Caenorhabditis elegans: one gene and its partners. The protein of the gene in region 2 interacts with the protein of the main gene of each other region in a pairwise test. Each region holds a gene or a part of one and is shown on either strand. Other genes may lie near its edges.

Region 1 (6,791 bases), on a different chromosome or scaffold from region 2:
TCCTACATTATGCCGGAGAGCAACTTGGTAAAGTTTTGAATATAAATTGCTTAAGGTTTTACGCACTGACCAAGTTTCAAAAAAATTCATATCTAATTTCAATGATAATTATGAACAATTTTCAGTAAATTCCGCAACCCTTCAACATTCTCCTGGACCAAGCAACTGAAGCATTCCAATTTTTTCTAATCACTGTACCCTAAAAGTCCCCTATCTCCCCCCAACCAAGCAATAATTTCACAAGGTTTTTTTTCTCAACTTGTTCATTAATTTATTTCCCGTACTCTACTCTCAACTTTAATATTGCACCCCATGAGCTTTACTTTTTAGCTTACAAAAATGTATTTTTCTTGAATTTGATGATATTTATTCAGCTTAGACAATAAAGCATGGTATAGTATGGAATTTTCTGGAACTTAAGAAATGCTAAGCCAAAAAAATTTAGCACGGGCCTTTTTTTTTAGCTTTCTTTTGTGTTCAAAAACTTATATAACTAAAAAAAGGTTTAAAATACAGGTTTTTACCCAAAAATTTCGGCCGAAATATGTATTTTTAGATTGTTTTAATGAAAAAAAAACTCTTATTTTTTAAATGAAAAAACCATCTCAATCGCAATTTCTTGAGTTTTGAACCTAGTACAAAAATGAACCGAAACACTTTCCAACGGTAATTTTAGGGGTTCAGAGCTGAATTCTGTCCCTGAAATTTTTGTGGTGACCTAGTCTTAACATAGGCCTTAAACAGGCCTCATCTGGAAATTGGATTTTCAGGCTTAAAAATTATGGAAAGGTTTAAACGAGAGGCTCTGAAAATTGACTTTTTATTTTGTCAATTTTTTATTATTTAAATTTTCAAAATAGGAAAAAGAACATGCAAAAAACATATATTGCTGAAAAAGTAGTAAAGCTCTGTCCTGATAAATTGCAGAAATCGTAATTACAGCAACACGCTTTAACATCAACATCACCAAGCTTTTCCTTTTGACAGCTCACTCCGTTGGTCTGAAACTTATTATATTTTTTGTAGACCTCTCAGCAGTTTTGAAAACGCTTTTGGCTTGAATTTTTACTAAAGTTAGCTAAGATCAAATGAGCAAAATTACTTAACCAACGCTGAACACATTTGAAAACTCAAAATAATATGTGCTATTAAAAACTTACATCACAATTTGTAATAGACACTGTCGGATCGGGACACGTTCCATTGAACACTGTGAAATAAGATGCTTGCTCAGAAAGCGTCAAACAATAAAGGCCATTGCAGGTGATAGCTGTCTGAAATTTCATTGTTATAGTTATGATTGAAAGGTTGGAGCCCGTTTCAGTTTTCTGGTGGCACTTGTTTCAGTTTAAGCCTTGTTCAAGCCGGGGACCAAGGCCTATAATCCAGTCCTCTAATGCTCCACTTCCAGATTAAGGCTGGATAGATTTAGGGGAGCTTGAACTTGTGATTTATGAATTGGTAGAGGTCCCTCTCAAAATTGAATAAAAAGAGTAATGAAGTAAACGTTTTTTTCAACAATTGCACTGACCAACAACAACTCAATTTAGTTAATACATTTTTTATAGTAATATAAATGTTCAAAATTAATTATTTTTTCAAACAACTTTTCATTTTCCTTACCTTACCGACTGTATGCGTCTTGCCTTCATAATCCATTTGTGAAAATGCCCAGCACTGTATCGAAGCTACCGGTATAATAAAGGTAATAAAAATCGATATAAATAAGAAATAAGTAGGCATCATAAAATTCAAAAGTGTGCAACTGTTGCTTTATCAGTGAAAAGCATTGGAAACTGTGCTTTCGTCATGTGAAATGCAAATTTTCAGGTTTTGTGATTTATTTTCAACTAGTACTTACTTATCAAATTGCGCACATTTGTATGAAATTGCATGCCATAATTGTTGATTTTCTGTCAAATATTTTTAAATTGGAATTTTAAGTTCAGTTTGAACTGCAAAACTAATTTCTGAATGTGTTCATTGCGCCGTAAACATTCAAACTATTTATGCAACTCGTTAACTTACCAAGTGCACTGACACCACTTTGCACTGACCATTGACCATTTTGCATTGACCAATTTGCATTGGCCATTTTGCACTGACCAATTTGCACTGACCAATTTGCATTGGCCATTTTGCACTAACTAATTTGCACTAAACAACTTGACATTTTTTTTGTTGTTGAGCACATGTAATTTTTTGATAAAACGGCCTGAAAAAATCTTGAAGTCACACTATCATCGGGTGATTCCGAGCTGTTCCCAATTCTCAAGTTTACAACTCCCGAAAACTTCACAAGTCACTAATCACACATCACTAGGTTCCTCCGAGGTCAAACTTTTCCCGTTGGAAAAGAGACAATTGAAGAGTGAGAGGTTGCATGACGTCATAGACAAACGTCCAAGTGTCTGTGACCTCTCATTTGCATGTACTGTCTTGTCGGGGAAGGTATATATTGATCATCTAGCGTTTGAAACAGCGCACCAGTGTCTCTGTAGTTTGGGCAACGAGCAGTCGGTAATTATGAGTGCTTTGCTGGGAGGACGAATTGCTGTGGTTACCGGTGAGTTGTTTTATTTGCAAAAAATTATTTTGAAAAAAAAATTGCAAACACCTAATTTAATATATTTTTCAAGTTTAAAATAGAAGGAAAAAAAAATTTTTTGGAAAAAAAATTAGCAAAAATTAAAAAAAATTGTAGTGATTTTGAGAATTAAAAATAAAAAAATTGAGCAAATATCGTTTCGTGAGTTAAATAAAAGAAGTAAAATATGAGTTGACATTGAAGTTGGTCAGTGCATTTCACACGTTTAGTCAGTGCATTTGGTCCGTAAAAAGCAAAAAACATACCAAGTGCACTGACCACCTGACTAGATCAAACCGAAACCCCCAGAAATTACTCTCACAAAAAACCTGCTCACTTCCAGCTTTTTGCAACATGAAACGTACTCGAAAGTCACATTTTTTCTGTAGTCCTGAGAAAAAACGTTAATAAAAAATGTTTTTATTCTCATAATCCAAGAAAAAATGAATGTTAAAGTGTGGGAAATAGAATACGGTAGCTTACGCTATATGTATATTTATAGCGTTTTTCAGAACTCACAATGTAAAAAGAGCAAAAACCAAAAAGAGCCAATTTTCAGGTGGTGCATCCGGCATCGGCAAGGCCATCTCGCAGACGTTGGCCAAGCATGGAGCTCGTGTCGTAGTTGCCGATTTGGATTCCGGCAACGCTGCAGCCACTGCAAAGGCTCTTCCAGCTAGCCAGAGCCATTCCTCGTTTGCCTGTGACGTGTCAAATGCAGACAGTGTGAAGGGGCTCAGTGAGCATGTAAAATCGCTGGGAACACCGTCGATTTTGGTAAATTGTGCAGGGATCACAAAGGTTCGGTTTTTTTACAAATTCATCCTAAATCGTACACCTACAGTAATCCTTTGTTACTAAAAAGGTGCTGTTGGAGTCAAAATATGTGTCTAGCGAACTAAAGAAACAAAAATTTTTTTAAAGGATTCTACACTTCTAAAAATGAAGCAGGAGCAATGGGACAGTGTCATTAAGGTCAACCTTACCGGAGTCTTCCATGTGAGTTTTTTTTTCTGAAAATTGAGGCGAAAAAGTTTTCCGATACAGTGTGATCCTAGATTATTTTTTAAAAGTGATTGAAACACTGTCAGAATAAAGATAACAAAATCAAAGAGGTAATAATATTTTATACCCTTTTTACAGTTTTTTTTTTTAAATTTTGACTTGCGACTACCGATCGTGACGGCGCACAACTTTAGACTCTCCCCCAAATTTTACCATTGGTTGTCAGATAAGAAAGCTTGCTCAGCATGAAAAAAAAACTATAAAACAAAAATTTAATATCTACTTGAAAGTTACTAATTTTTACATCAGTTCCAAAATGTTTTAAATACAATTTCAGGTATCCCAAGCATTTGTCAAAGCATCAGTTGACAACAACAACCACCCATTATCAATTATCAATGTTTCATCAATTGTCGGCAAAATGGGAAATTTCGGCCAAACCAACTACGCAGCCACCAAGGCCGGAGTCATCGGGTTCACAAAATCTGCAGCGAAAGAGTTGGCGAAAAAGGTGAGTAGTTTCTGATTTTGCGGCAAATCTCAAATAGAAATATAATATAAAATTTATACGAAAATATAGTGAAAAATATCTAAATCTACCGGCCCATACTTTTTTGTGCACACCTCTGTTGCACTATGTTTTAAAATAGACAAAGCAATAAAAAAGAGATTTCGTTGACGAATTGAAACTAAAGTTTTGTTTCCCAAAAAAGTATCACGTCGAAAACAATAAAATGCACTAGACTTTCCTATGTTCAAATATGTTCAAATATGTTCAAACTGTTACGAAAAATTATTTTTTGGTGCACTACGTATGTTTTAAAATGAGCTTTGTTATATTCTGCTAAAAAATTTTTATTGAGAATTTCATTAGTGATTAGGTCTTAAAAATTAACATGTACTGCCAGAAAAATGTCAAAACTGGAAAACTGCATAGTTTTTTTTCTTTTCGATGCACCATGTTGCAAAATGAATTTTGCATGATTACTGAGGCCTGAACTTAATAGTTCAATTCCGCTTTGAACTTTGGAGAACTATGTATTCACGACGTTAAAAAGCATTCGATGCACCATGTTTTGAAAGGAATTTTGCATGCCTGGTACTGGCTGTACATAGAAAACATTTCAAATGTAGCTATCATTATTGGAAAATTAATTTAAACGTTTTTTTTTAAATATTCAGTAGATATACCAAAAAAAAATTAAAATCTCGATGCACCATGTTCGGGGGAATCGCCTTTTGACCACTACCATCTTACTGAAATTTTTTCCAGAACGTACGTGTGAACGCAGTGCTCCCAGGCTTCATCAAGACCCCAATGACAGAGGCAATGCCACCGACTGTGTTGGCCGAAATCTGTAAGGGAATTCCAATGGGCCGGATGGGTGAAGCCGAGGAAATCGCCAACTCCGTCTTGTACCTTGCCTCTGATCTCTCCTCATATGTGACTGGTGCCACTTTGGAAGTTACCGGTGGATTTAGTATGTAGATTAAATTTAGACTTTTTACTTTGACGGTTTATATCGTGGATTTTAAAACTTCTGGAGATTTTTATTTAATTAATGTATACTTTTGAAAGTCTATGAAAAAATCTGAAACTATGCCCTCAAAGTAAGCAGGTAGCTTGGTTTAGAATCTTTGTTGATATTGTGATTAACTTTGTTTCATGAAATGAATATTTGTTTTAAATCGGGATATCTTTATTAGTGATCAAATATACATTATAATTAAAAAATGAAATAAATGTTATTCAAATTATTGCACGAAGGTTTAACAAAACTGTTTTGTATAATTGTTCAATTGAAAACTTTCACGTTTTGTTAACAAAATTTGAGTATAAGGTTATTGATAAATAGGAAAACTCTAAACTAAATGTTAATGAACCCAGCAAATTACATTTTTGTCAGTGCAAACATTTTTTGGTCAGTGCAAACATTTTTTGTTTAGTGCAAACATTTTTTTGCTAAATGTTTCTTAGTCACTGCCCGAAGTGAAATATTTTAATTTTGAAAAAAAACTCAAGTAACTTATTCAAAAATGTCTAGAAACATTAATCGGAGAATACTCATCAGGCTTATTCACAAAATCCAAACTAATGTCACAAATTTCAATAGGAGCCGACTCGTCAATGTCTTCCTCGCGGGAGTGTGAAGTGTTGATTCGAAGTTGAGTGGAACGTGTTGGTACCGTGATTCTGAATTTATTACTTGGAAACTGTATAATTTTATTTTTAGCAATTGAAAATGTTAATGTCACAAAAACACCTGTTTCTAGATTTTGCGCATAAAAGTTTGAACTGAACGTAGACACCCATGTGGTGTCAGGCTGTCTCAATACGGTTTGATCTACAAAAAATGCCGGAACTTTTCCCCAGAAAAATTGTAACGTCAGCAAGGTCTTAACATGCGAAATCAGTTGAGAAGTCTGCGTCTCACCTTCCGCATTTTTCGAAAATCAAAACGAATTGGGACTTTCTGACTCCACGTGATTACCTGGATGGCCCGGGCGCCGACGTTTGTAAACTACCATGCGACAGCTTCCTTGTCGGAGACGCCTTCTCCTCAATGCTAGCTGGAAAGGAAGAAAATAAAATTTTCTTGGCAAGACCATAATAATTCTACAAAACTTACCGTCACTGAAACTCTCCCTGCTCATCAGACGTGCTAGTTTTGTGATAAGTCTCGATCTGGTCTGAAACTTCTCAAAAATTTTATTTCAAGATGATAAAATTCTCACCGGTTCAGCGACAGTTTTGTCCTTGTGAAAATATTCCATTTCCTCTCTGGTCATTGTGTACTTCTTGTGGTGCCAACCGTACACAAAATGAATTTTGATACTTTGTATAATCTTTTTCCAGACACTTTCTATGATTTTCTTGTCATTATTGCATACTGGACCTTCGTAGCATGTGAGAGAAATGAAGTCAATATGTTTCTGAGAAAATAAATAGTTTAGGCTTAGGCTTAGGTTTAAACTTAGGCTTAGGCTTAGGCGTAGGCGTAGGCTCAGGCTTGGCGTCAGTGGCGAACGTTAGCCTACGATATATCTAATCAAATTAAAGCTTTAACTTACTTAATTACTAATGTCCATATCTCTCTACCCATAAGTTTTAGCAAACAAGTTTTAACTGCTAATTTGTTTATTGGGACTTTTAAAACAACTTTGCAGTTGACAACTTTTTTTTATTTTACCCGTCAAC
Region 2 (9,531 bases):
ATTTGGATGCACCAAGCCGATTTTTCTCGTCTACTAAAATTGAATGTGTCGTATAAATATTTGAATAATCGAACCTACATAATATTACGTTCATCATATTGTAACAAATTCTTCAAATTCATTATTCTCCTCAATAAATTTACTTTAACATTTTTCTGAAGTTTTGGAAGTTCACAAAATAACTATTATAGTAACGCAGAGAAATGAGCTATTTGAAATTGATCTACAAACGTTAATTGGAAACGCTAGGCCCACACTTGATAAGGCAATTTATTGAAAATACATTTCTAGAAAATTTGACAATCGGCACAAAACACGCATCGGGGAAAATTTGAATTTTGTAAATAAATGACATATTAGAAAATACAAAAAACTGGCACATATAAAGCTAGAAAGTGAATTTAGTGAGAAATAATCAAGACCAGAATCAATTTTCCAATTTGACAATATTCTTTGGCAGAATACCCGCTGGCAAAGTCTTGAAAGCTTCCAATTTTCCCTTGTAATAGTAGTCATCAACATCTTCCACAATCAATAAATGATCGCCACGTGTCACATAAAGATGTTTGGGATCTTCGGAATGATAGTCACCAGTGGCAACTGCCTTCTTCGGAGAGAATGCACATGCAATTTCAGCGATTCCTTTTGACGGTGCCTTCTTTGGAGATCCGTATGGTGGTCCCAAGAAGGTCTTCGGAACCATTCCCTGTTGTCCACGACATTCTGCGAGCAACCATTGAGCATCAATGTCTTCCAGGGCTGTGATGACGTCACCTTCGAATAATCGGAGGTCAGAAGCAACTCCAGAATCGTAATCATAAGATACAGTAACGGTTTGTTTGGGACCACTATTGTTTGTAATTGGATGAGAATAAGATGGAGCAGATGATGGAGCTGATTGTTTCATTGGAACTTGATAAAGATTTGGACAATCCACAAATTGAGATGGAAAGATTCCTGATCTACCAAAGCATTCACCTTCTAGCCATTCTTCATTTACACGAGCTGTTACCATAATTTGTGATCCGACAGCGAACTGAAAGAACATTCAGATTTACAAATATTTTTAGATGTCTTTTAAAAACTCACATTCAAATCTCCAGCTTCGTTCGAATTATAGTCATAGATTGCAGTTGCATATGTGCCTGAAGATGATCCAGATGGAGCTGCTGGTCGTGGAGGCAGAGCTGTGAAAGCTTCTTTCAATGGGATCTTGATGTCAAGGTAGGATGATGGAACAATTCCAAATGTGCGCTGGTTTTGATTCTCACCTGAAACAATGGAAGATTATGTATTGAGTAACTAAGTTTCAAACATTTAATGCGATTGTTTCTGCAAAAATCGAGAACATCTCCTCTTACTCCATATAAAAATTAATTTGAAATCAACTAACCATAAAACCACTCCGCATCCACTTTTTTAGAAATTAAAACCGTATCCCCAATTCTCAATCCCATCTCATCAGATTGTGTCGGAGCGTAATCAAACTTGGCAATTCCATAAGGAGTACTGATGGCTGGTGCCGAATAAGACGGGATTGATTGTGTATGACGTGGCACTGGAGGCGGGGCAACTGGTGCAGATGAAGAGTAAGAAGATGTTGAGTTGGATTGATACGATGGAGTTGCAGTAGAAGAATCTGAAATTTTAGAACTTTTTGAAGAAAAAAATAGTCGGTAGGCATGTCTCCAGATATTCCCTTGCCTGTTTACATTTGTACCTTCCGCCTACTTCCGGCAGTTAACTCGATATTAACTCGACATTTATCAGAATATCCAAGCTTTTTGGAAAATTTGGCAATTTACCAAAACGTTAGCTATAAATTTTGAAACATCTAAAACTTCGGAGTGTTTTATTTTGATAATCTTTTGTTTGATCTGTTTTTTTTTAATCTTTCAAAACTCACTGCTTGACATCACCGATCCTCCGATATGCATATTTTCCAATTGTGATCTAATTGCAGAATGTGATCCAGAAAGTTTTCCAGGCGATGTTCCTCCTCGATGTGGTGGTGGTGGTGGAACTGAATCAGACTTTCGATTAGCATCAGCAACTGCAAATGCAGCTGAGATCTTATTTCCACCACTTGGGTCCTTGACAGCATTCAACACTGCTCCACGTGCCTTCTCATCTTGTGCAACATTTTTAGCTGTTTGTCTGACGAATGGATTCTTGGCGGCTGCGATTGCGGCATTCCGAACCTCTGGTCTTTTGGCTGACTCGAATAATGCCTTGGCGGCTGAGACTGAGAAGGTACTGGTATCTGGAAATATGGTTTACTAAATAGATAGGATATGAAAATAAACAAAGCTTGGTTTATTTGAAATGGAGCCTTAACTAATGTTATCACTTGGTTCATAAAAAAAGTTGGCGTAATTGTTTTTCAAATCAAGTTTTATCTGGCCTATAGGCAGGCAGGTAGGCATTTCCTGCTTTCATGGGAGTCAGAATTTTAGCTAGAACTTATGTAGTTATATAATATCTAAATATCGTCTTCAAGAAATCCTTACTCTCAGGACATTTAGATAATACGAAACTGTAAATAAATTTTCAAATCTTACCTTTTGACATGAAAATTGAGCACCAGCCCGAACAAAAGAGCGTGAGAAACCCTAAAACTGCCAGAAAAAGAAATAAAAAGAATGAGAACTGGGGAAATCGATGGATGGAAGAAAAAGGAAAAAGACTAGGAATACGAGAGAGTGTATAAGTTATAGAAACGCAGACAGATAGGCAATGGAAACTCTTGTGTTTGCCGAGAGAATGAGAGAAAGTGACGAATGTATGTTGTGACTAGACACACCTCGGACACATATTTCGACAAATCATTGAAAAAAGACACGTCATTCGAGCATGAGTCATCATAGCTTTCCAGAGCATCCTGTTATTTCTTCTTTTATTGTTTTAAATAGATAAAATATACAGTGTGGGAAAGTTCTATAGGACCCCCCCTAATTTGAAGGTTTGAGGAACTTCCGAAAATTTTTTTGAAAAACTGCTAATGCCATTCGTTTTTAAATTGAAAAAAACCTATATACATTTTTTTCCAGAAGTTTATCTCAAAAACTGAGGTCGCGCTGGAAAAAACGTCAAAATCCAGTGTGAAACTTCTATAGGACCCCCCGTTTTTTTTCACGATTTTTACTAAAATCAACAGATTTTGGAATTTTTGACAAAGCTCAAATCAAGTTTGAGTTAGAAATGAGTTCAGATAAGCAGTTTTGACTTTAAAAAATTAATACGAAATGTTCTCGTGGGATCTCCAGACTGGTTCTGATTCTTCCGATCTTTGATGTTCAAGTCTGTTTCAAGCTTCCTGGTGCTCTCGGTAATGCCAAAACTTGATAAACTCTCTTTAACAAGTTCCTACTAAAATTCCTAGCACACACACCATAAACATTTTTACGCCATCCCCAAGAAACCAGTCAGAAACAGCGTATTAACAAGTTGCAGTTATTTTTGATCAACAACAGAACATTCATATACTAAAATCAAGAAAGGATCAATAGTTAATCGGGTTTCCTTGTGTGCGGATGATCTCAATCAGTCTGTCCTCCATTGATCTGACCAAACTTTTCAGCTGGTTGTCCGGAATAGACTTCCAAGCGTCGAGAATTCCTTGCTTCAACGATGCAACTGTTGGGTAAGTCTTGTTCTGAGCATACACGATACGGACAAGAATCCCCCACAAATTTTCGATTGGATTGAGATCAGGACTTCGAGCTGGCCAATCAAGAAGGTTGATCTTCTTGAGCTTGAAATAGTCGCGGGTTGAGTTGCTCACATGGATTGTCGCATTATCCTGCTGAAATCTAAAGTCTTTTCTGGAGTAGTGACGAAGATATTTGGAGAGCTCCAGTTCCAAGACGTTCTGATAGTCAGTGCTGTTCATCTTGCTACTGACGAACTGTATCTCAAGCTTCTTCTTCTCCGTGAACGCTCCCCAAACCATCACCGTTCCTCCTCCAAAATTACGTCTCGAAAAAACCATTGGTTCCTTGCGCAAATCGCGCCAATAGTAGCGGCAACCGTCAGGCCCATCGAGATTGAATTTCTTTTCATCGGAGAAGACAACCTAAAACAATGATCCTAATTATTCACTCTTGCTTTTTTAAATTCTCACTTTACTCCAATTCGTTCCCATATTGTTCTTAGCAAATTCCAATCGCTTGAGTTTATGGTCTGCAGAGAGTAACGGAGCAGGGCGAAGTTTCTGACGAACGATTACACCAGATCGTTTGATGACATTGAGGATGGTCCTTTTTGAAGCAGACAATTGAAGCTCATTGCGAATATCTCTTGCCGTCTTACAGGAGTTGGAGGCAGCACGAATCACATTTCGTTCGTCACGCACGGAGAGAGCTTTGCGACGAGGAGCTCTTTTAGATGTACCGTAGCTCACCGGATCCTTCAGATACTCGCGAATACAGTGTCGAGAACGGGAAATTTTCCTACTCATTTCATGCAGGGACACATTGAGCAATTTCATAACATCCAGCTGAGCGCGTTCAGTGTCCGAAAGGGCAGATCCTCGAGGCATTGCAAGTTAGACTGCTTTCGAAGTAAGCTTTCCAGCCTCTATATGTGTGCCACAACACATGCCACAATTCCACATTTAATAATTCACGCAAAAAATAGTAAATAACATCTGTGAGGGACAATTTAACTTGAAATATTGGTCCCATGGAACCTTGTAATCAAAGAAAAACGATTTGATTCCTGATAAGCCTTCCATTGTTTCCTGCTGCATATTTTGCCAAATCAGCTTGACTACACAGTCGAAACATCTAAAGTGCGTGCTAGGAATTTTAGTAGGAACTTGTTAAAGAGAGTTTATCAAGTTTTTGCATTACCGAGAGCACCAGGAAGCTTGAAACAGACTTGAACATCAAAGATCGGAAGAATCAGAACCAGTCTGGAGATCCCACGAGAACATTTCGTATTAATTTTTAAAGTCAAAACTGCTTATCTGAACTCATTTCTAACTCAAACTTGATTTGAGCTTTGTCAAAAATTCCAAAATCTGTTGATTTTAGTAAAAATCGTGAAAAAAAACGGGGGGTCCTATAGAAGTTTCACACTGGATTTTGACGTTTTTTCCAGCGCGACCTCAGTTTTTGAGATAAACTTCTGGAAAAAAATGTATATAGGTTTTTTTCAATTTAAAAACGAACGGCATTAGCAGTTTTTCGAAAAAATTTTCGGAAGTTCCTCAAACCTTCAAATTAGGGGGGGTCCTATAGAACTTTCCCACACTGTATATTGCAAGATTTCCTATAATTATCTACATACTGACAAGTGCGAGAACCTTTTCTTGGCTCCAAAACGAAAAATCTATGAACAATATGTGGAAATTTTGTGGTAATTGTGACAGCAAATGTTTTTTAATGAAATTTAAAAAAAATTTCAATATTTTCCAACTTATCAAATTATATTACCCATATGCCAAAAATAGATGCCTGGTCTCGACACGACAAATGCTTGCTGGATTCAAAAGAATATGCGCCTTTAAGGGGTACTGTAATTTCAGACTTTCGTTGCAGAAAATTACAGTACTCCTGAAAGGCACATATTCTTTATCACTATTAAAAAATTAGTCGTCTCAACTTTTCCGATAAAGCTGCCGTAGGAATTTACATTTTCGTGTCTGCCTCTAGCCTTACTGCCTACATACCTGCCTACCGCCTATTTTTGCGAATTTTGCCGTTCGCTCGCAGATCCTGCTTTCAGGTTAATTAAATTTATCTCAAAATTATAATTTCGAAAAGTGGTTTTTTTTTTCATTTAAAAATACATCGAAATTATTTTTAGAATTAATTATTTCTCTAAAAATCTCACAAACATCTGAAAATCAGCATAAAGTTTAAAAAAAAACTTACCAATATTCTCATTTATTCCATTTGAATTTCCAGATGTCCCACATATATTAGGCTTCCGTGGTGGCGTTGGAGGTGGTAGCCTTACCATTATTCTCAATGTTGGAGCAACTATCTATCTGGGTGGAAAAGTGAATCCAAAGGGGGTCTTGAAGGGTTTATTTGCCTCCAACTTTTCTCCATATTTACTCAACTCAATTGTGCTGCTGCCTTCTTCGAAGTTTACAATCAAACATCCTTTAGCACTGTATTTTTTGTAGTCCACAATTGTATAAAAGCTACCAATTTATTACTAGTGAAGTATCTAATGATGATGCAAAAGAAAGATGAAAAACAAGAACCGAGTCAAATATACACAGAACACACGGACGGGGTGGGGGGAATAAGAATTATTGAATAAAATTTCGCAGTATTCGATGTGTGTATGTTTGGATCTTCTCATCCTCTGTCTGATCCGTTTCAAGTGGAAAATTTTGAAAAAAAAACCAAGTGTTTTGATACCCATTTTGTGTGCAATTTTGTTGTGGCTAGAATCATAATGGTTTCGATTTGAAGTGTACAAGAATCTGAAAATTGAAAAATCTATTGCTGAATAAAAACAACTATTTATTTGTTAGCTTTTTAATCGAAACTCAATTTTAAAGCAAAAATTAATATTTCTGGTTTTTTTTCGAAAGCTTTTTTCAAAAGAAAATAAATTCATAACTTTTTCGTTTTCAATTAATTAAAAAGTTTTTTTGAAGTAAATTTAATTTATTTTTCCTAATAAATAAAAACTCACTGTGAAATATAAATTAAAATTTACAGAAGACGAATAGTCTCCTGGACGATTTGATTTTCCATCATTTCATTTTGAACCTCAACAGGATCCGGTTGGCGTCGTCGCTGACGTGAATAAACCACAAAAACGAAGTAAAGAAATACAATAATGAAGATCGAAAAGCCGACTCGATCAAATACATCTGGAAAGTAGTACAGAAATATGCTCACTGCGACCATTTGACCTGTAATAAATATTGCGTTTTGACGTGTTTTTTTTTGAAAATTAGAATCACCTCCAAAAATCCAAAATAATGTTGAAGTTTGCAAATGAGTTTCCTGATCATCATCATCTTGTTCCAACAATCCATTATCAACAAGTAAATTGCATACCCATTGGCTAATCGTCAGAAGTGTGGCTGGCCGAAGTAGATCTCGAATTCGATCAGGACGGAAAAATGCCAATCCAATTCCAGAAAGAATTGGAACCATTGTTGATAAAAGTAAATAGATCTGTCCAACATTTCTGTCCTGCGCAGCTCTTCTTCTTGCTGTTGTAACATTCTCATCAACTACTGGAACACTTTCCGACGGCATTGGAGTTGTGTCACGTGGAGCTCTGACGGATCTTCGAGGTCTTCGTCGAAAACCATTATTGACAATTGGAGGAAGAGTTGCTATTCCTGGTCGTGTATATGGTGTTGTACTAATATGACAATGAACTATACTTCCTGGTTGAAGACCATATTCTTCTAGCGTTCGATGATCTTCTCTGAGAAGTTGGCCTGAAAAATTCAGTTAAAAATTATTTAGGCTTGAAGAAAAGACTTTTAATTTTTTCAAATAGTTTTTTTTAATATTCATTTTTCCATTTGATTTTCAGGATTATGAGCCAGTGGTATTAAATTTTGGGAATTCTATAAAACTTTCAACTGTGGCACGTTTTCACAATTTTTCCAATCTATCAAATTATCAACAAAATAAATTGCGGTCGATAGGTACATTTTTGTGTCTTTCAACGAATACTTTAGATATAGGCCAATAAAATTGTGTTCTATATTTTCAGAAATTTTATGGAATTCGCAAAAAATAATCGTTAGATCTTTGTTTTCACTTATTTTTTATCATTTTTGAAATATTTTTTAAAAAGCTTTTTTGCCAAATGCCAAACATTTGTTTTCATTAATTTTTTTAAACTTTAAAATACATTACTAACTGTTTTTACTTTACATAAAAAATTAAAGATACCTTGATAAATGAGCCGTATGACCTGATTCGCAAGATTTGTGAAATGATCTACTTTGAACTTTGCTACAGTATCCTCCAGTGATGCATACGTGTTTTTCTCGGTATCATTCATAAACTTTAGCTTTATCAAAATCTTCCCTTCTGATGGTCCTTCGATTACTGGAAATTCGGATTCTTTAGTTTCTTGAAGAACTTGCTCCGGTTGAGCTTCTACTTCTTGATCATCCAGTGGCGGATCCTCATTTTGCTCAACTTCGACTTGCTCAATTTCTTCAATAGGACCTCCTCTATCAATTTCAATTTCAGTTTCTTCATCATCATCTTGACCTTCTTCTTCTTCATGATCTTCTATTATTGCATCATCTGAACTATCGTCATCGTCATCCTCTTCATCATCTTCTTCCTGTTGATCTATCACAATATCTTCTGTAAGCTCTGGTGTATCAGCGAACACTTGATTTGTTGGAGGCTGAGTTTGTGTTACATTTGACGTTCTTGTTGAAAGATGATGTTGCATATCCGGGTTTATTGCTGAAAATCCATACATTTTTAATTTTCAGGCGGGGATTTTACTTTTAATTATAAAAAAGGCCGGAATGACCGAATGTAACTGTTAAAAAATTAAGAAACTGATTCTAATTTTTTAAATGAATTAGTTTCATCTCTTCTCTAATTTTCAGGCTTTTCCTACAAAAAATTGAAAATAAATATTAAATTGTCGATTTTATGTCATATTTGAAGTTTTAGCTAAAATTGTTCGGGTAAAGTTTCGAAAAAAAGCAATATGAAAAACTTACATGGAGTCGTATACGTAACGTCTGTAGTAACGTAATCATGTCGTGAAGAATTTTCCTGAACCAAAATAAATTATTTTAAAATCAATTTTTTTTCTTCATTTACGCTGGGTCTCGACTCATCAACTCGAGTATTTCCAGATCGTTCTGTTGGTGGACGAAGTTGAGGCCTGTACGTTCGAGACATCAAAGATGCGTCGTCTCTGGAAAAATACAGAATTTTTGAATGTTTTAAACCTTAAATTAAACTTTTTAAAAACTAACCCTCTAGCTAAAATTGCTATCGCCGCTGCAGCAGCATACTGACTATCCCTTGTGGCGTCAGGCACGTGACCAGCACTCGGTGGCGGCATTTCAATGTCCCATAATGTTATTAGGTCAACGTCTGGTGATCTGGAATTGGAAATATTAAACATTTGAATACATTTTTAAAAGTAAACCTTGCAGGAGCTGGTGAATCAATAACCGTATTCGGCGACTGTATCACAATATTTGTATCAGAAATTGCCACTCTTTGCTCTCCTTGAATTCGTGGAGCTCTTGCCCTCATTCGTTGAACTAATCGTTCCCATGTGACGGGCGGTGTGAACTCTTGACCGAGATGAAGAACCTGTATTTTGAAGTTTAGAAATTTATTCGAAATTTTCCAATAGTGTTTTTCGTTTTTTTTTTCTTTTAATATTTAAATAAAATTACCTGCACCATCCTCCTAGTTGTCCAAGTGTGCATTTCTACAACAAATAAGTTATAATATAAAGGCCTTCGAGCAGAGATTTGATATGATAAAAGTGCACATGCTATGATGATTAATATTGCGACGACTGTGCTTAGCTGAAAATAGTTTTTTTTAGATT
Region 3 (7,233 bases), on a different chromosome or scaffold from region 2:
ACGACGATTGCCTCAAACGCAGCAATTTCTTTCGCATTCCAACTTTCACTCCAACGCAACAATTATTGACGAGTCCCAGTTTCCATCACTGGGCGCGAAAGGTAAATTCACTGATTTTTTTTTATTAGCTTGAGAATATTCTTAAATCTATGAAAAACTCACTGTCGAACTCTCATTCTTATTGTTAAATGGAAAAAAATTAAAATTAAAATATTAAATTTGACCTGCTTGTGTGGAAGTCCACGGAAATGTTTTCCTTGAATCTTTCATCCTTTTTATCAATATTTAAAAAAAATTAGAACAATTATTTCATTTCTCAAGGCATTTCATCGATTTCTATTCAGGAACGTCCTCACTCGGCGGCGGCGGATTCTCCCCAATCCCAACAACGAGCGGAGGTGTTTTGAACGTTGCCCAGTCATCGCCGTCGAGAGATCTTTACGGCGCACAAAGACCCAATTATGGTAAATTTTACTTTTTTCTCTTTCTGTGTGATGAAAAGCATGAAGTATCAAAAATTAAAAAAAAAAGTACGATAGCTGGTTGTGAACCGCGAATATATATTTTTTTTTAAATCAATTTTTGTTTGCTCTTTGAAAATGCGCGCGCGCGAAATTCTGATTGAACATTTTAAAAATTACAATGCGTGTTTCATTCTGTTTTGAACGCAATTGTGCAATTTTTCGATGTTGGCAACTTCTTTCCGTGAGTTTTTAGGCAAAACGCAAATTTTCTGATAAAATTTACTCATTTTTACTGCAAAATTCCGATGAATTCGAGAAAAAACCGCCGAATTCTTTTGGAAAATTTTATTTTTTATTTAAGAAAAATCAATATTGAATGTGTGCAAAAGTCCGTGACGGTGGTTGCGTATTCCATGATCGACCGTACCCCGCAGAGATTTTTCGTTCAGAATTTCCATAAAAATTCTCCGAATTTTCGCAGTTTTTGTCGTGTTCCTGTGTTGTTAAACCATGCAAAAATTAATTTTCAGCTAACCTGATGAGATCGGACCCCAGTCTAACAAATCCCGAGTTCCAAATACAGAACGAGGATTTTCCCGCGCTTCCCGGCGTCGGTTCTGGTCAAACACAGCGATCAATGCTTGGAGATCAACTGGCTAACGTACTTAAATTTAATTTAATGTCAACAAAATTTCTGCGTCGATGACAATCAAATAATCGATAAATTATTGCAGATGTTAGCAGACGACCATCAAGTCGACTTTGCTGGACCCCTAGGCGATTGTGACCCCTCGCGGCTCAGCGGGATATCAAGAAATAGTCAAGAAGGACCTATGCATGGGATTATTACTCATCCTGATGGTGGGAATACTTTAAAAATAAGCATTTAAAATAATAATTGTTAATTTCAGGCGAAGTGACAAACATTCCAGCGTCAATGCTTGACGATCAGTTTGGGATGGCGGGTTTGGTGACATATCTTCGGACAGTTGACAATCCTTCCATTGTTTCACTGGCGTTAGGTTATGATCTTACGACGTTGGGCTTGAATTTGAATTTGTCAGAGTGAGTAGTGGCCTGAAAAGCCCGAAAAGCCCAGAAAAACTCTAATTTCCCTCTGTTTCAGACGAAAATTGTACATGAACTTTGGTGGTCCGTGGGCCGATTCGCCGATTCGAGCACACGAGCTCGACGTGAAGGTGCCCGAGGAGTACATGACGCATAATCATATTCGAGACAAACTTCCACCGCTGCGATTGAATAAAGTTTCAGAAGACGTGTTATTCTATCTTTTTTACAACTGTCCAAACGAGATTTATCAGGTGGCGGCGGCGTGCGAATTGTAAGTAAAGTTTATTCCAAAAACCTGCATCGACCATGACCGCGAGCGGAGCGTCGTGTTTAAAAAATTTATTTTAGTTTTTTTTTTTCCCCGAGAATTTGTGATTTTCATGAATTTACATATGAAACGCATAAAAAATTGGCCAAAATGATAGAAAATCACTCGTTCTGGGCGAAAAACTTTCAAGAAAATCCGCTTTTTCGTTAAGATCGCATAATTGTTCATCATTTTAGTTGATTCTTATTTCGCCTCATATATAAATTTATGAAAAATCATGTGAATCACGCGTTCTTAGCGAAAAGTTAAAATAAAAATTATTGAGCCGCTCCGTTTGCAGTTACGTCGCGGTCGAAGTTCACGAATCAAATTATTAATAATTTTAAAATTTTAGCTAGAAAATTGAAAAAAACATATATTTTATGTTAGCAATTGAGAAAATCTTTTTTATCACGAAACAATCATTATATTTTCAAATTTTTTGCAGGTACGCTCGCGAATGGCGATTTCACAAAAGCGAACAGGTGTGGTTGACGCGTTCTCAGTACGGTGGAGTGAAAGAACAGACGGGAAATTATGAAAAAGGGCATTACAACGTGTTCGATCAGATGCAATGGCGAAAAATTCCGAAAGAGTTAAAGTTGGAGTACAAAGAGCTCGAGGATCGGCCGAAAATGCCGCAATCAGTTTCCGGACAACCGACACCCTACAAATACTTTTTCCAAGGACCACAATTTCCGAGCGGTCCGGAGACGGGTCTGATGCTTCAGATGCATAACTTGACGCTCGGCACAGGTGGCGGCGGTGGCGGACAAATCACTCCACCGGCACCAGCGGGTCTTAACGGAGTTATGGGTGGTGGTGGTGTTGGAGCAGCTGGAATCGGAGGAATCAATGTGCAACCGGGAGCCGTTCCATCGGCGGCGCGAGCTACTCCAAACTAAACAAGAAGAAGATGATCTCTCGTGTGCAAATTTTCTATATCCCACTTTCGTCATCTTGTTCTCGAATTGCTCCCTTTCTCTCTCATTTTCCATCTCTTTTTCCCCTCTTTCTCTCCACATTTTCTCTCCCAATCTCCCATTTTTTTCCTTCGTTTTCCTTATTTTTCCTCTTTTCTCTACGTTTTCGTATAAACGATTATCGATATACACAAGTTGCTCTTTGAAAACCTGTGATTTTTCAAAGAAAGAGCTTCACAATGACTGGCGGCGGCGGTTTTCTCTGTATTTTCAGTGGCGCAACACCGAACTGATAAGACGGGGAAAAAGGCTGAAAACAAGATGTTTGTCGATGACAAACTCGCCTACAAGGGGGTTCTGATATCGTTCCGTGATAGCAACACAGTTTCATTCGATACTATTATTGTTTGTCATGTCGTCGTTGGCTGAAATCGCGTCGAGACCCGAAAACTTGGAGCTTCTTGCTGAAGGAAAAACCAAGCAAATCTTTGATATTAAAGGAGAAAAGGTTGGTTTTTTTCACTGAAAATTCAAAAAATTTGGGAAAACATTAATTTTCTACTAATTTTTTAATGCTTTATAGATTAAAATTTAGATATTTTAAAAGCGCCTTTTGAAATCGTGATGCAAACGCGCTCCGCGAGTAATCTGACAAGCTCCGCCCCAAAACGTTGGGTCTCGTTGGGAACGTGAATTTTTGACGATCTCACCCAATTTTTTTTGCATTTTTCAACATAAAAATCGTTAAAAACAACGAGAAATGATTGGAAAGTGCTGGAATCGGCAAAAAAGTAGGATTATACGGTTTTACCGCCAATACCTAACGAGACCCGGTTTTCAGTTATCCGTGGCGCGCTTTTGCAGCCCAAGTCACATTTTTATGCGTCTACATAATATTCAGAAAAGCGTGTCCTAGAAACACGAAAACTCGGCCAACCGAATTATCAGAAGAGATTTTTCAGAAGTATGCTCAAAATAATCTTTGAAAGAAATGTTCGGTTTTCACTGTCGGTGAGTGGCCGAGGTTTCACGTTTTCTAGGCCACGCCGCAAATAGCCAGCTTGTGGCCTAGGAAATGAGAAAACTCGGCCACTCTTTCAGCACATTTTTCAAATACACGTACGGAAAATTTCCTGTAAAAACGGTGTCTGAGCTTTCACGGAGCCTAGAAAAAACTCGGTCAATTTCGTAAATTTGAAATCTATTTGAATTTTTCCGTTTGGATTGCGATAATAATGTGCTTTTCAACAAAATTGAATCCAACTTTTTCAATTTCTGAACAAAATCTTTTCAGGATTATGTGCTCATTCGTTCCAAAGATAGCTTGACCGCATTCAACGCTGTCCGTAAAAATGAGCTTGAAGGAAAGTCTAGAATCGCAAGTAAAACCACATCAAACGTGTTTGAATATCTTCAACTTCTCGGTCTACCAACACACTTTGAAAAAAGCATCTCTGAAACTGAATTTGTCGCCCGTAAATGCACCATGATTCCGATTGAATGGGTGGCACGACGTGTTGCGACAGGATCCTTCTTGAAGAGAAATCCTGGAGTTAAAGAGGGTTTCAGATTTAATGATCTGAAATTGGAGACATTTTTCAAAGACGACGCTAATGATGATCCACAATGGACTGATGAACAAATTGTGTCGAATGGTTTGATGATTGATCATTTGAAAATTGGAAGAGAAGAGATTTCATTGATGAAGAAGATGACAAAGTTGGTGTTTAGAGCATTGGAGAAAGGATGGGCTCTTTCAAATAGTGCTCTGATTGATATGAAGGTGAGGGTGTTGCAAAGTTTTTATTATTCTCTTTTTTTTTATCGGTCTCAACTTTAAAAAGTAAACATAATAAAAAGTATGTAAGTTTAATGTTCGGTCTGCAATATATTCGTTTTGTAAATATTTACATTTTGAAAGGAAATCAGCACCATTTAAAACTGGGTGTTTTCTGTAACGTGTCGATTTACGCAGCTTGAGTACTTCACGAGGAGAAGTGTGTTTTTCTTTTCGCTGAATTTTACAATTGTCGGTTGTTGTAATTTTGAAATAATTTTGAAGAAAACCTGAAAATTCCAGATCGAATTCGGAGTCACAGTTGAAGGAGAAATTCTCCTGGCCGACGTGATTGACAATGACTCGTGGAGAGTTTGGCCTGAAAATGATAGACGTCTGCAGTTGGATAAGCAAGTTTACAGGGATATGAAGGAAGTGACAGAAGAGGGGTTGGCTCTCGTTTTGAAGAATTATACAAAGGTTAGTAGGCCGAAGCTTAGGCCTAAGCATATGCCTATGCCTGAGCCTAAACCAAAGACTAAGCCTAATCCTAAGTTTTAGCCTAAGCCCATGTCTAAGCATAAGCCTAAGCCTAAGCCTAAACCTAAATTCAATCATCCTATATATCAATTGTTAGATTTTTACGCGAATCAAACCTTTCGTGTAAGCACAATAACTTGCCTGCCTGCAAGGCGATCTGCACCTGATTTCTGCCAATATGCATACCTACAATTTTCGGTAGACACGTTGAGTAGGTAGGCAGGCACATAGACACGAAGGCGTATCTACCTACCAATAACATTTCCAGGTTATGGATATCACTGCCACCTTCTCAAAACACCAGCAAAAATGCCATGTTCTTGTGATCATGGGATCTGGTTCGGATGGCGTATTCGCACGGAAAATCTCTGATGAAGCCAAGAAATTTGGACTGGAAACTACGCTGAAAGTAAGCTCAGCTCATAAAACTACCTCGGACACTCTGGAAGTTATCGCTGATTTCGAAGAAAGTGGAGTTCCGACAGTTGTGATTGCAGTAGCTGGAAGATCCAATGGACTCGGTCCAGTTATTGCTGGAAACTCGTCTCTTCCGGTAGGACTTGAAAGATCAGATGATCTTTATTTCAAAGAATTCAGGTGATCAACTGCCCGCCACCAAGTGAATCAACGAGTCTTGACATTTGGTCATCACTCCGAATGCCGAATGGAATCGGGTGTACTACAGTGTTGGACCCATCGGAGGCCGCGCTTGCCGCCGCAAAAATCCTCGCGTCTCACAATCATATTGTGTTTGGAAAAGTGCTCACTGCACAGCTCAAGAATCAAATCAACATTTACGTAAGTGATAGAGATGTGAATTTCTAATTTTTGAACTTTCAGAACGCCAATCGCAAACTTGAATAGATGCAGGACTGAATTGAAATCAGATTTTTCAAAAACTTTCTTGTGTAAATTAACTAATTACTCAACGTTCACTTTTATTTCAGCATTCTTATATTAAAAACGAAATGAAATGTTTGAATCTTAAACTTTCAACTGCACATTCCACAGCACGTGCAGAAGAAATCCACGTGTGCCGAGACATCCACGAGAAGATCAGTCTCTTGAGTCAGCTGTCTCCGTTGCTGACGTTGACGATTATGGGTATCGTAGAGTTCTGGACAAGGCATTCCGGCTGACAAAACACCTACGAGAACTTGAACATTTCGAGTGTCCGATGTTCGGACAACTCCCGAGCCACTGTCACCCTGGAATCAGTGGAAACTATTAGGCATCTTGGGCAAGTAGGCATTGTTCTGCCTACTTCTGAAGAAACACTTTTAAACTTTAAAAACAAACATCACAAGACAATCCTCTATTCACTGCCGACGTACAATACACCCCGCCATATGGGAAATCGTCGGAGCACTCCGCAACAAACGAGTATAGCGATTTCAACTTTCCAGACTCCAAAACACTATCCGAAGCTGGAATTAAAAATTTCAAAAGATCACATAAAAATCGGAACTTACGATCTCTTCCATAACCAAAAAGCTTATATCCGGTTTCTCTGATCCTCGGGATCTTTGGAGCAGATGGAAGACAGGCTGGGAATATGTCTTTTGAGAATTCGATGGGTTCTTCCAATTCGAACACGGCGATGTCGTTGAATGATTCTCGATCAATGCAACCATCTCCGACATAGCCTTTTCGGATGTAGAGCTGTAAAGAAAATATGTGTTTAGTAAGACTAAGTGAGCCTACGTCTAAGCCTAAGCCTAAGCCTAGGTTTGCGTCTAAGACTAGGCCTACGCCTTAGCCTAAGAAAAAACCAAAGCCTACGCCTAAGCCTAATTGTAAGGGTAATCTACTCACCGACTTTATCGCCAGTGGCTTGAACATATCCTTCCTATGCAATCCCTTACACATCTCTGGAACCGCACATGTCACATTAACGAATGCCACGAAATTCTTATAGTCTCTCACGAAATACGCTTCTCTGAGATTTCCAGTATCACAGTCAGGCAGAGGATCCTCACTGATTCCGATCAAATGAGCAGCTGTTACAATATGCCATGGAGAGACTAATGTTCCGGTTCCATGCTGAACAAATTCATTTTCCGAAAACTTATTTCCGCCGTTTCTAAAAGATCCCGAGCCATCAGAAATTCGCTTCTTCATAGCCAATGAGACCGCCCATGGGGCTTCACC
Region 4 (6,256 bases), 3.1 Mb from region 2:
GAAGCAGCGAATGTTGTGGCGCAGGAGGTTTTTGGAGTTCAAGAATCTGGAAAATCAAGTCGAAAAGCAATTCAAATGGGTCAAAAGTTGCGAACAGCTCTTCGAGGACCTCCAGTATTCCGTGATGGATCAAAATTCCGATTGAGTCGACTTCTAGAAGGACATAAAGATGGTGTATGGCATGTGGCAGCTGATTCGACAAGAAATATTTGTGCAAGTGCGAGTGCAGATCAAACCGCCCGTATCTGGTCATTGGAAAGTGGAGCCTGTCTGGCAACATATACTGGACACACTGGAAGTGTCAATTGTGTGGCAATCTCCAATAATTGTGCTGTGGATAGTACTGAAGGATCCGGACCAGCGTCAGGACTGTTGCTGGCGACAGCGAGTGGTGATGAGTCAACGCATATTTGGAAGGTTCCCAGTAATAATGGTAAATTTTCAAAAAATTCTTAAAAATTGCAAAGTTTAGCGCTGAAAGTCGCCTAAAATCGCTGGTTTGCCAAAAAAGCAGACAGTTTCTAAAAAAAATAAACAAAAAAGTTTTCAATAGTTTGAAGACTATTGAAAACTTTAAAAACGATTTTACAAAAATTATAGTTGCCAGAAGGCGAAATTTTCGGATTAAAAAAACTTGAAACACAGTTTTTTCAATAAGATTTTGAAATTTCACCGAAATTTATTGAAATATTTTTTAAATTCTTGTATTTTTGAAAAAAAAACACCTAGAAAATGGGCGGGACATGGTAAGCCCCGCCCACAAAATGGACTTCTTCGGAATAATAAACTTCCCTATAGCTATAACTATTTTCAGCTCCATCCGATCACAGTTCCGAGGAAGAAGAGGAGCACCACCGAGATCCGAACAACTTGCTCGGCGTCGTCGAACACAATCGCTTCACCTCGTCCAGCGAAAAATCCGACGGTCATCGGATCCGTGTCCCTGTTATGCGGCTTACCGGACATCGAGCTCCTGTTAGCTGTTGTGAATGGCTTGCTGGAGGACAGCAGATGGTCACTGCTTCCTGGGATCGAACGGCAAATGTTTGGGATGTTGAGAAAGGAGAAGTTGTGAATATTTTAAGTGGTAGGGTGTCACAAAACGACTTTAAATTTCAAAAATGAATAATTTGCAGGTCATGAAAGTGAGCTTAATCACTGTAGCACTCACTCCAATCAAAAGCTCGTGCTCACCTCATCCAAAGACTCCACCTTCCGCCTCTGGGATTTCCGAGAAGCCATACAGTCGGTCGCAGTGTTCCAGGGACACCAGGATTCAGTGACTTCGGTCAGCTTTAACACGGACTATCGAATCGTGTCGTCCAGTGACGATGCTACTGTAAAAATCTGGGATCTTCGAAACATGCGAACCCCGCTGGCCACGATTCGGCTCTCATCACCGGCGAATCGTGTGGCGATCAGCAAGTCACATCCGGTCATCGCCATCCCAATGGATAATCGTCACGTCAGGATCTATGATCTCAATGGAAATCGCCTGCCACGTATGCCGAACCGCCGATGTCACGAACGAATGGTGACGTGCTGTGCATGGCTCGACGAGCATCCTGCCAACAATCTGCTCACCGCTGGTTTCGATAGAATGGTCGCTGCGTGGAAAGTCAATACAACAACTTCATAATATTTAAACTTTTTCTATTTGTTGCCAGAAAAGCTTTGTGACATTTTAGCCATGAGACATTCCAGTTTATTTTTCACATGTAAGTAAGTAAGTAATTTTTAAAAATGATAGCGTGCAAATAAATACATTCAGCTAATAAATTTGGCAAGCCGTTCGGCCAAACCCTGCTAGTAAAAGAATGATACAAGAATAGTACAAGAATGCAATGGAAAAAAATCACCGTGAAACGTAGAAAATTGGAAAATTTAAAAAAAAGGAAATAAACTTATTGCTTCAAATTCATCATTTTCGGATTCAAACGATCCGATGGTGTTCCATAATCGCTTTCGCCTTCGATTCCGCCAAGGTCCCCGGTTTGAAGCTGCCCGAACTCAAATGATCCACTACTCATCGCGGCAAGCTTCTTCTCCACTTCATTGATCATTGCATCATACTCTGCAGCGGTCTTTTTGGGTGGTACAGATGAGGATTCTGGCTTTGGAAGACGAGCGATTGCTTCAGAAGCGAGAAGTTCAGCGGAGGCTGATGGTGGTGCTTCTTTACCATTTTGAATGCCACTGAGGAAGTCCGCACCGAATGGATCTAGAAAATATTACTTTTTTGAAAAGATCTTTTTATTGTTGAAAACTCACTATACTCAGCTGCAGTGCTCTTTTTTTCTCCAGCTCTGGGATCAAACGAATCATCGAAAATATTACTAGGAGCTTTTTTTGCCGGCTCAGCTGACCCCAACTCCAATCCATCCAACAATCCCGCCGTGGAGTTTTTCGGTGAAACAACGGGGTTTCTGCGTGGAGCAACTGGTGGCGGAGGAGCCAGTGCAGGAGGTCTCGGTGGAGGAATTGATGGAGCTGGTCCAGATGGTGATGTGGATGCCGGGCTCACGGATGGTGATGCTCCATTTGATGATGTAGAAATCTGAGGGAGAGTTGGAGCCATTTCAGTTGGTGGAAGATCGTTGGCACGTGGCATGGAATATATTGAGGATGGAGGAATGTTTGGTGGAGGTCCTTGAGGCATCGGAGAAAGTGGAAGTGCTGGAGGACCTAATCCTGGATAGATTGGGGGACCCTGAAAATGTTATATATTAATAATTTGTTTTGTAATTTTAAAAAACTACCGTGTTCTCATAATCAGCTTTACTATTAGCCCGTAGAGCTTCTGCTAATCGCTCAATGAGCACTTGATTCTCGGTTTCAAGCTCCACAATCTTTTTCTTCAAAATGTATATTTGCTTCTGATTCTCCAAAGACGTTCGATTTTTATCAAGGAATCTCTTGTAGGCGAGATCAAAAGCCTCTCCGATAGTTAGAGTGATATCTTCAGCTAGCTTTTCTGATGTGAACGCGTAACAAGACGGCTTCCCACTAGCACCCTCGGCGCGAGCAATAAATGAGAACATTCGCTTGTCCTGAAATTTCGTTGTTGGGGTTTTTTCCGAAATTGTATGATCGAAAGTGTCAATCAAAGTTATTTTACTGTAGGAAAATCGAAAAATTAATGTTTATTTCTCAAAGTATTTCGAGTATTTTAAATTAATTTTTCTAGCTTCAACTCAAAATCTCTTACATCTTTATCATCAGCACAAAACGATATTCTTCCCAATGGAAAAGTGTACATTGGCGCTTTTGTCTTAATATCCGCAATGATCACATTGTCGATCGAGATGCGAATTTCCACTTTTTGCAGTTTCGCCGTCTCCCGCGTTTGTTCAGATCGTTTCAGATCGCGTTGAAATCGAATCGCGTGGATCGCTTCTCTTGCCACGTCACTTCCATTTGCTTTTGGAGTTTCGACGCATCCAAGGAACCGTGCAACATATTCCACATGGCCATTGATAAGATAATCTGAAAATTAAAGAAAAGAATAATTGTCGAATGAAGATTTTTTAATGTTCAAGATAATTCGAAAAATTATTTTTTGGAAAAGCAAAGACATTTATTTTTAAACAAAAATTTTATGAAATTTTACAAATTTCTAAAGCGACTTTACAAAAAGTTACAAAAAAGGCGTTAAAATTTGTTTTGGGAATTCGTAAAAAAATGTTTATAAAAATTTCATCAGGAATTTTTTTTTGAAAAATGTGTTGTATTACGGCATATTTTTAATAAACAACATATTTTCAATAAAAAGATGAAACAAATTGTTCAAACAATTTTTTTCAATTTTTTCAAAGTAAAAATTTAAAAAACCTGGCGGATGAATCCACGTTCTTCCGGTCCCACCACGATATTTTACTTGTGGTGCACTCGTCGACGGGCTTGAAGATCCTTCTCCATTAATATTATTTCCACCGACAATTCCGGAGACCGATCGTTTGAAGGTCTTGTAAATGTCTTTTGCCATCTGATATAGAAAAAGTTTAGAACATTTTTCGTTTAAAAAAATGGTTCAAAAAGTCTCAAGATTTCGGCGAAGAAATGGGGAGGAAAAGAGCAGAAAAGCAAACTGTGTAAACATAAAGAAAAGAAGAAGAATTGATAAAACGATGAGTCAGCAATGGAAATGATCATGAATTGGAGGAGAAATAGACGGATAAATTGTCGGAAACCGGATGATTCAATGAGTCAGTTGGAAGAGGGATCGGATAGATGTATTAAAGAGAGTCCATTATTAGAATAAACAATTTATAAAGGAAAAGGTTCTTTTGGTGGGTCCGAATGTAAATAGACTTTGAGTAAGTATAAACTTAGAAGTGGTACATAGGAGAGACGCAGATATGTCATCTTGTTGGGGTGAAAATTTTGAGAAATTCTGAAAGAATGTACTTGGAAAAAGAATTGAAATATAGTCACATGATATTTTATTAATTCATCGCAAGAGAAGAGAAAGAAATGAAACTTGTGATCGTCAAAGTGAAAATTGAAAAAAAACAAATTGAAATGTTTTTTGGACTAGAAAAAATTCAATCACGGGCTTTCACATAATATCCAGACAATTTTTGGACCAATAATTCGATAAATGTTCTCGACACGACAAATTTGTGCTAAATACGAGAAGGTGTGCTCCTTTAAAGAGTACTGTAGTTTCAAACTTTTGTTGTTCCGGAATTTTCATTTAATTTTAATGGTTTTTCGGGAAGTTTTTTTTTTAATTTAAATTTAAGTTGATCAATCAGGAAGTATGTTTTCATCGAAAAATCGTGAAAAACTGACAGCAACAAAAGTTGAAAAAACAAAGGTGAAACTACAGTACTTTTTAAAGGCGCACACTCGTGAACCAATAACACGACCATGTGTCGATTTACGCAGCTCGTGTACTTCTCGAGGAGAAGTGGGAATTCAGTATTCTACAATTTTACTGTTTCCTGTTAAAATTCTAGACTTTGGATCATTTTCGCTGATTTTTATTGAAATAAAGAATTACTAATTACTACTTGAAATGACAGTTAGTTTTTTTTTCAAGATTCGAAAACTTTCAGGTAAGAAATTAGCTGTAAAATGGAACGATGCTATTATTATTTAACGCCAGTCACCTATATACAGAAAGTTTCGCGTAAAGTGGGGTTCAGTAAGCGGATAGCCTCGGGTGAGGCTGACAATAAGTGTGCGAACGTGGTCAAGGCCAGTCAACCGGTGGACAAGAGATGCAATGGATCGGTCGGAGACGCAGATATCTTTCCGTCCAATTGGGAGTGGTCTTGTTGTGTTTTTTTTTTTGCATCGGGGGAAAATTGAGGGCGCTGATTTGATGGGCAGACAATCTCATCAGGAAATCATTCAGATATTATAATTCTGCAGAAAATAATCGAGCAGATATACATTTTCTGGCACAATTCGTCAATTCATTCATTTTACTCCGAACCGTACAAACAAATAACGCTACTCTAAATTAAAATTAATTTTTGGAAAAAGAAAATAAATGAACAGCAAAAAGTTTTCTAAAAAAGTGTATCTGACAACAGATAGAGAGAGAGAGAGACGGTGAACGAACAGCGAAAAGTACATAGGGAATCCGAGATGAGGAAGACGTCATCGTTCACTGCTTACATTCTCCACCACGACATACCAGCGCGAGTAAGGGCGTAGTTGGGGAAGGCTTCTGTGCGACCTAGAAAAGAGAAATTGTTTGCAATTCTCATAATGTAAAAACAACAGCAAGTGGAAAACTACTCACCAACTCCGACAGCAGCAAGATCACGATCGTACACATGTCTTGAAATAGCCTCGCGGACAGCTCCAGCGTCAACCTTTTGAATTTGAGCTTCAAGTTCTGACAACTGTCTGAGATTTCCGGTGTAAAGAAGCTGAAAATAATGAAATAACTATCCATAGCATTTTCTGCAGAGTAACAAACCTCCTTAGCGTTAAATCCAGCCTTTTGTGTGTTGGTCTCGAGGTTCTGGTACAAGTTGGTTCTGAATTGGTTCTTGGCCATGGCGACTTCTTCTTCTGTGGCAGCAGAGGCCAAATGCTTCCATTCGTGAGCAACAGACTTCATGATTCCGCTGGTGTCGTTCAAGTCGTGAGCATCAGCAACAAAGTAGATTCCGAACAATCCAGTGTCTCTGAAAAAAAGAAAATAAAAATTTAAATAAGCTTGCAAAAAAAGATACTTACTTGTAGTTGATGTTGAAATGCTGGAGGTTATGGACTCCGTGGTCGTGTCCGATTTTTT

What was found.
Region 1: the proteins of B0303.7 (region 2) and dhs-25 interact in a two-hybrid assay, tested with the Caenorhabditis elegans proteins (one large-scale study listed by BioGRID).
Region 3: the proteins of B0303.7 (region 2) and paic-1 interact in a two-hybrid assay, tested with the Caenorhabditis elegans proteins (one large-scale study listed by BioGRID).
Region 4: the proteins of B0303.7 (region 2) and ced-6 interact in a two-hybrid assay, tested with the Caenorhabditis elegans proteins (one large-scale study listed by BioGRID).

What each region holds. Positions count from the first base shown.
Region 1 is NC_003284.9:1,484,049-1,490,839, forward strand, and holds dhs-25 ((3R)-3-hydroxyacyl-CoA dehydrogenase), read left to right. Parts: upstream 1-2,483; 5' UTR 2,484-2,526; coding exon 2,527-2,566; intron 2,567-3,146; coding exon 3,147-3,388; intron 3,389-3,511; coding exon 3,512-3,586; intron 3,587-3,929; coding exon 3,930-4,103; intron 4,104-4,268; exon of another isoform or gene 4,269-4,289; intron 4,290-4,865; coding exon 4,866-5,081; 3' UTR 5,082-5,278; downstream 5,279-6,791. Other genes in the region: acly-1 (putative ATP-citrate synthase), read left to right, coding at 1-39; D1005.4 (Activin_recp domain-containing protein), read right to left, coding at 852-1,001, 1,161-1,274, 1,624-1,743; D1005.10 (C-type lectin domain-containing protein), read right to left, coding at 1,858-1,913, 2,029-2,137; F09E10.5 (Globin family profile domain-containing protein), read right to left, coding at 5,624-5,786, 6,085-6,163, 6,223-6,283, 6,329-6,526.
Region 2 is NC_003281.10:8,690,091-8,699,621, reverse strand, and holds B0303.7 (SH3 domain-containing protein), read right to left. Parts: upstream 6,001-9,531; 5' UTR 5,968-6,000; coding exon 5,880-5,967; intron 2,678-5,879; exon of another isoform or gene 2,572-2,677; coding exon of another isoform or gene 2,562-2,571; intron 2,264-2,561; coding exon 1,907-2,263; intron 1,640-1,906; coding exon 1,394-1,639; intron 1,272-1,393; coding exon 1,090-1,271; intron 1,037-1,089; coding exon 428-1,036; 3' UTR 101-427; downstream 1-100. Other genes in the region: sdz-1 (Skn-1 dependent zygotic transcript 1 protein), read left to right, coding at 1-56; B0303.4 (transmembrane and ubiquitin-like domain-containing family 1 protein), read right to left, coding at 6,678-6,880, 6,932-7,420, 7,884-8,414, 8,681-8,735, 8,784-8,880, 8,942-9,070, 9,118-9,287, 9,374-9,508.
Region 3 is NC_003280.10:4,368,460-4,375,692, reverse strand, and holds paic-1 (Phosphoribosylaminoimidazole-succinocarboxamide synthase), read left to right. Parts: upstream 1-3,167; 5' UTR 3,168-3,177; coding exon 3,178-3,273; intron 3,274-3,785; exon of another isoform or gene 3,786-3,855; intron 3,856-4,059; coding exon 4,060-4,548; intron 4,549-4,845; coding exon 4,846-5,022; intron 5,023-5,350; coding exon 5,351-5,635; intron 5,636-5,679; coding exon 5,680-5,880; intron 5,881-5,922; coding exon 5,923-5,946; 3' UTR 5,947-6,068; downstream 6,069-7,233. Other genes in the region: ntl-2.1 (NOT2/NOT3/NOT5 C-terminal domain-containing protein), read left to right, coding at 1-101, 345-464, 995-1,125, 1,199-1,325, 1,376-1,529, 1,591-1,806, 2,291-2,747; try-9 (Peptidase S1 domain-containing protein), read right to left, coding at 6,075-6,290, 6,382-6,509, 6,555-6,744, 6,898-7,203.
Region 4 is NC_003281.10:5,593,500-5,599,755, reverse strand, and holds ced-6 (Cell death protein 6), read right to left. Parts: upstream 3,986-6,256; coding exon 3,832-3,985; intron 3,487-3,831; coding exon 3,209-3,486; intron 3,051-3,208; coding exon 2,760-3,050; intron 2,711-2,759; coding exon 2,272-2,710; intron 2,222-2,271; coding exon 1,905-2,221; 3' UTR 1,685-1,904; downstream 1-1,684. Other genes in the region: wdr-37 (WD repeat-containing protein 37), read left to right, coding at 1-433, 815-1,087, 1,137-1,639; ucr-1 (Cytochrome b-c1 complex subunit 1, mitochondrial), read right to left, coding at 5,625-5,689, 5,756-5,885, 5,936-6,146, 6,199-6,256. UniProt on the Caenorhabditis elegans protein: May function as an adapter protein in a pathway that mediates recognition and phagocytosis of apoptotic cells during normal development. Promotes engulfment of cells at both early and late stages of apoptosis.